Saccharomyces cerevisiae S288C: one gene and its partner. The protein of the gene in region 2 binds, or shares a complex with, the protein of the main gene of each other region. Each region holds a gene or a part of one and is shown on either strand. Other genes may lie near its edges.

The links. The genes of interacting proteins can lie anywhere in the genome.
Region 1: RPL23A (region 2) and RPL9A share a complex: the UniProt entries of both Saccharomyces cerevisiae proteins name them as parts of the large ribosomal subunit.

Annotation. Positions count from the first base shown.
Region 1 is NC_001139.9:227,254-230,204, reverse strand, and holds RPL9A (60S ribosomal protein uL6 RPL9A), read left to right. Parts: upstream 1-1,875; coding exon 1,876-2,451; downstream 2,452-2,951. Other genes in the region: RRT6 (Rrt6p), read left to right, coding at 519-1,454; bifunctional chorismate synthase/riboflavin reductase [NAD(P)H] ARO2, read right to left, coding at 2,676-2,951. UniProt on the Saccharomyces cerevisiae protein: Component of the ribosome, a large ribonucleoprotein complex responsible for the synthesis of proteins in the cell.
Region 2 is NC_001134.8:59,076-62,578, reverse strand, and holds RPL23A (60S ribosomal protein uL14 RPL23A), read left to right. Parts: upstream 1-1,839; coding exon 1,840-1,881; intron 1,882-2,385; coding exon 2,386-2,757; downstream 2,758-3,503. Other genes in the region: YBL086C (uncharacterized protein), read left to right, coding at 1-1,377; DNA-binding protein kinase TEL1, read left to right, coding at 3,197-3,503. UniProt on the Saccharomyces cerevisiae protein: Component of the ribosome, a large ribonucleoprotein complex responsible for the synthesis of proteins in the cell.

The DNA of each region.
Region 1 (2,951 bases), on a different chromosome or scaffold from region 2:
CTTAATATACAATTTCTTATCTACTTCTGCCTACAATTTTTAGGATTCATCTACTATTATTACACTATTGTTATACTATTGTATTTATATTGAAATATCAATAAAACAGGGCTCGTAGAAATGTAGAATTTTTACCTAATATTCTTCTTTCAGCCCTATTTAAGAACCCCGTTATATAATGCTATGCCCTACTGTATTTTACATATAACCCTGATTTTATGACTTCTCGATTTTGTACCCTCGGCCCGGCGACGGTAGCCAATGCCAGTAAAGTTAAGTTTAATAATGCATCATAATGTGGGGATGGGTAATGCTATTGCACCCTAAGTCGTTGATACTTCTTCAAAGGAAAAAAAAATACCGTGGTGAGGCTGTAGTTGTGTTCAAAATAAAATAAAAGCCGTACACTCTAGTAGTAAAAAGACTTTACTGAATCTTATGAAAAGTTTCTGGTTTTTGCCTCTCCTTACAGATTCTACCGTCTTTAAGGCCTAGTTTCTCTGTGTCATTGTGAAAACATGGAAAAAGCTTCCTTGAACATTGCTCAGACAAAGGAAATACCACTGACAGATAGGCGAATGGGGCTCCGAGGATGGAAGGCGTGCAGTAGGCCGCATTTACTAGGTCGAATATTGCTTTTCATGAGCATACTATTTATTACAAGTGCGGAATTAAGTAGCGACGTAAGCTCCAGAGAAGTATATATGCCGATATTCAATAATAAGCTGTCGTTCAAAGTGCCGCCTATTAAACGCTCGTTGCTGCTAGGAGCAGCCCTGTACGAAGATTTCGAATATAGCTCTAACAACAGTGCTTCTGACGGAGCGTTCTGTACCGTGTTTAATGCAGGCATGAATGACGCGTCTAGGGAGGTTGTTTTTGAAATCCATGTAATGGACGTGTTGCAAGAAGAAACAGACTCCAGCAGGTTCGGAGGAACCAGTCACGAGCGTGGGAGGCAATCACTGGGCTTCAGTGTTTTTAATAACAAGAATGGTGATTTGTTAAGAAGCAAGAAAAATCTAGCGAGCGGGACGTCGGTCATCGAAGTTAATCCTGGGAACTGTAATGAGTTCTTGATATGTTTCATAAATTTAGTCTATGACGGATCGTGGAGCTCGATTGATACTGAAAAATCTGTAACGATAAAGATGACCTACAATGATAAGCTCGATCCTGACATGTTGTTGCATTTGGTCAATCAAATGACACCGCAGGTGGTGAAAGCATTGAATACCGTCTCTGACGGCCTTTTCCAGATAGTGAGCGATACCACACTTCTTCAAATGGAAAGTGATAGGCGAGATATAAATGAGGCGACGTATAGTTATCTGATTGTGGGGTTTGTGTCGCTTATGGTAGCACAGCTGATATCCAATATTATAGTTACTACCTATTTGATTATTAAGATCAAAAGTAATCCTTCATCTCATATCAAAAAGAAAGGTTTGTAAAAGAGCATTGGGCAGAGAGTATTTGTCCTGCGTATAGAGGAGAAAAAATTGTACTGATGCTAATTTTGGTGTCGTTCTTCTTTTTTATTTTGTAAGACTGTTTTCCAGAAATGTTTGGGTTTATTTTTTAATTTTTTGAAACATTTTTTTCATCCTTTCTCATTTTGTCATTTCATTTTTCTGTGGAAAATTTCACTGACGCGAAGAAGCGATGAAATTTCCAACATCCTCCCATCATCCCAATATTGGCATACACACACATGCAGCACAGCGGAACTGCGGAGGTCAGAGGCAATGTGGCAGAGACGCTGGCGCGCCTGTATTGTATAATAGTATATTTTACACTCAATTCAATTTTTTGATATTAAATTAGTGTGTAAAAAGCTTCTGAAATCAAGAAGCCCGTACCAGAAGTTCAATCATGAAATACATCCAAACTGAACAACAAATCGAAGTCCCAGAAGGTGTCACTGTCAGCATCAAGTCCAGAATCGTCAAGGTTGTTGGTCCAAGAGGTACTTTGACCAAGAACTTGAAGCACATTGATGTTACCTTCACCAAGGTCAACAACCAATTGATCAAGGTTGCTGTTCACAACGGTGGCAGAAAGCACGTTGCTGCTTTGAGAACCGTCAAGTCTTTGGTTGACAACATGATCACTGGTGTCACCAAGGGTTACAAGTACAAGATGAGATACGTCTACGCGCATTTCCCAATCAACGTCAACATTGTTGAAAAGGATGGTGCCAAATTCATTGAAGTCAGAAACTTTTTGGGTGACAAGAAGATCAGAAACGTTCCAGTTAGAGATGGTGTTACTATCGAATTTTCCACCAACGTTAAGGACGAAATTGTCTTGTCAGGTAACTCTGTCGAAGACGTTTCCCAAAACGCTGCTGACTTGCAACAAATCTGTCGTGTCAGAAACAAGGATATCCGTAAATTTTTGGACGGTATCTACGTTTCTCACAAGGGTTTTATTACTGAAGATTTATAAGCTTTTTATTTGATTTTGTGACATTTTCTTTAAAGTAGCAGAAAAAATAATTACATATAAAAAACTTTGTATATCTAACATATAATATAATTGAACCGATACGAAAATAAAAGTACCGATAATATGTCAACTTTTTGTTTTTTGTTGCCGTTTTATTACGTGCACTAATACATATACATGCGTATATAAATATACATAACTCTTGAGGGGTTTTGTTTCTATCTTTAATGAACCACGGATCTGGAGAAATCTCTTGCCTTTTGGATCAAAAGCGCGTCAGCCAACACCAGAGCGGTCATGGCTTCCACAATAGGAATAGCTCTTGGAGTGACAGCAGGGTCATGTCTACCCTTAGCGGCTAAGATACCTTCTTCACCATCGTAAGTGGCGGTTTTTTGTTCTTGAGAGATAGTGGCCACTGACTTGAATGGGACAGAGAAATAGATGTTCTCACCATTAGAGATACCACCTTGTACACCACCTGAATTGTTGGTCTTTGT
Region 2 (3,503 bases):
GCAAAAAGACCAAAGTTTCTACTGGACCTGCAAATCAAAGAATTGGTAAATATTCCTCAATCTTCTGGCTATTGCTACACGAAATGGCGTTTGAAGGATGGAACAGGTACGTCGGGACACAAAGTGGCTCTGGACGGTGAGCATCAAACCACTTCGACCCAGAGTAGAGGTACAACAAAACACGTGCATGTGCAACATCATAGAGCACAATGGAATTATTCATTAGACAAACCAATCCTGGTGAAGCTCCACTTGGATAAAAACGGCAGATTCTTGAAGAAAATTTTGGTGTTGGATGTTTTTTTTGAGTTTGCTGATGCGAATTCCTCGTTGACTTCTAGTTCTAGTCCCAATGGCAAAGTGAAGAAAACGACCTATGCTAACGCCACTGCACTAACGGCCACAGGAAACAATTCATATTCTCAAAAGATAACGGGTAAACTTCTATTGGGAACAGTAGACATAGATATAACAGAATACGTCAAAGAAGACGAAACTCCCACAACAAACAGATTTCTCCTAAAGCACTCAAAGGTCAATTCTATAATCAACGTCTCATTGCAGTTGAAGCTAGTTAGAGGCTCTTACGAAGATTTCAACATTTCCAAATCGTTTACTAATGGCCAGCTCGCTAATTACAGGCCAGGAATAAATACTATACTGGATAACACGTCTGAACTATCTAGCCCCACATCAACAACAAACCAGATGTCACCCAAGAATACATTCTCCAATTTTAACGGTATTGGAACAACTGTAGCGAAACCCGGTACAAATGCGACAGGAAACAGCACAAGTATTAAATCACCGACTTCTACCAACCACAAGAGTAGCGAAATGACAACAAAGCCAGGGCTGTCAACAACAATATCTTCCTCTATGAGCCCACTGATTGAGAGCTTGTACCAGAAAACGTTTAAATTACCGTGGGATCCTCGACCAGGTGAATTTACGCCAAGAGAATGCGTGGAAGATATTTTACAAGGCGGAAACGGTTGGGCTAAGAACGAGAAGGGCATAAATTTAATCGATTTACAGGCATTGAGATTGAACGAAATGGAAGAAGAGTACTACAATCCAAATTATGGCAATAACCTTGGGAACAAGGCAAGTAGTTGGCCTCCAAATCCAAGCGATGACGGCTACAGCACAATGGGCAAAAGAGAGTATTTGGAGAAAAAGCAGAATTGGAGTCATATGTCACGAGCACAACGTGCAAAACTGAGGACTCATAATGACGAGGATAACGAAAATACGGCTAATGATAAAGGGAGCGACAAGGATAATAACTCTGTCGAAGACAATAACCCCACGGACTTTTTAACAGATAGAATAAGAGAAAACAAAAACTGGTCTATAATAACCCCATCGGGCTAGAATATTTGTATTGTTTTATGTAATTATAATCTTAAGCTTGCAATACCAATCACTATTACCATGTTAATGATCCCCCAGATAAAAAGACAAGACAGAGCATATATCAGACTACATTAACATCTGTACACCCCCAACTGCTTTGAAAAACCCATGCAGTTATTATTTTCAACAGACCAAGTTTTTTTATCGCTTATCCGGCTCACAGAACGAGCCGTACAACCGTCATCAGACTTGCATGGAAATGTTGAAAAAGAGGTAAAAAAGAAAATATCAAACCCAAACACGCTCGGGCTGAAAAATTAATATGGCAGGAAACGAACTGTAGCCATAATGTACCTGTTCCCGCTAATAGTAATACCATCGTATTGCTAAGGTTAGTAGCTAAAAATCTCTTACTTTCTTTATTTTGACTCTTAGGTCTTACAAGCAATACAAAACCAACACACCTATATATAACTAATAATGTCCGGTAACGGTGCTCAAGGTACTAAGTTTAGAATCTCAGTATGTTAAAATTTTTATTTTCCACAATGCAATTTGGTTAAATTGATCATAAAGTAAAGTTCCAAGATTTCATTTTGCTGGGTACAACAGAATTAAACAGAGGTTTAAAAGACGCTAAACACTAAGTGTGAAGCCTGATCATATACCTATCGGTGTTATTTTCCATAAGAATGGTAGATGTGCCATCACTGGTACCGCCCCGCCAAAGATGCAATTACACACATAAATTCAGTTTTTAAATGGTTAAGCGGGCTGTATTTGCAGATGAAGTGATACCTGTCAATATTCATGGACTCAAAAATTTCTGGTTTCAAAATCATACACGGCAAGCATATCCTAACTCCCTCTTTTGCCCATACTAATGGATAACCATCGAAATGTTATTTCTACAAAAATCACGCTTAACTCTATTTTTCAAGATTAACCACATCTGCTAACTTTCTCCCTATGCTTTTACTAACAAAATTATTCTCACTCCCCGATATTGAGATCTTTTTTAACTAGTTAGGTCTACCAGTCGGTGCCATCATGAACTGTGCTGACAACAGTGGTGCCAGAAACTTGTACATTATCGCCGTCAAAGGCTCTGGTTCCAGATTGAACAGATTGCCAGCCGCCTCTCTAGGTGATATGGTTATGGCCACCGTTAAGAAGGGTAAGCCAGAATTGAGAAAGAAGGTTATGCCAGCTATTGTTGTCCGTCAAGCTAAGTCTTGGAGAAGAAGAGACGGTGTCTTTTTGTACTTCGAAGACAATGCTGGTGTCATCGCTAATCCTAAGGGTGAAATGAAGGGTTCCGCCATCACTGGTCCAGTCGGTAAGGAATGTGCCGATTTATGGCCAAGAGTTGCATCTAACTCCGGTGTTGTTGTGTAAAAAGGAAATTATTTTGACTCATACTCTTAGATTCTTCAATTATATATATTTTCTTTATAAATAACAATCTCTTAAACAGATTAAAGAAACTCAATAATTCATTGCATTTTTAGATGAAAATATTACTATTATCGTTCATCGAGAGAATCACATGATATTATGAGCGTGATAGGAGGGTCTATATATTTTTTGGGGTACGTCAAAAAAGCAAACAGACACGTTAAGAAGGTAAGAATAACAGATGATAGAATGTTTTGCTAGTGAGAAACAAGTATGGCACCAGCCGTACAATATGCATATTTTGACATTTTTCAAGGTAAATTAGTTCCAAGTTAATAGAATAATCAAGACTAATTGACTTCTCAAAGCCTCGCAAAAAAAGCAGGAAATTCGAAAAAAAAGCCTTCAAAGAAAAAGGGAAATCAGTGTAACATAGACGATGGAGGATCATGGGATTGTAGAAACTTTAAACTTTCTATCATCAACAAAAATCAAAGAGAGAAACAATGCTTTAGATGAGCTAACAACAATTTTAAAAGAAGATCCGGAAAGGATACCAACCAAGGCCCTATCTACAACGGCAGAAGCTTTGGTAGAGTTACTTGCATCTGAACACACAAAATACTGTGACCTTCTTCGAAACTTGACAGTGTCAACCACAAACAAGCTATCACTTAGTGAGAACAGACTCTCCACGATATCGTACGTTTTAAGATTATTTGTAGAAAAATCATGTGAGAGATTTA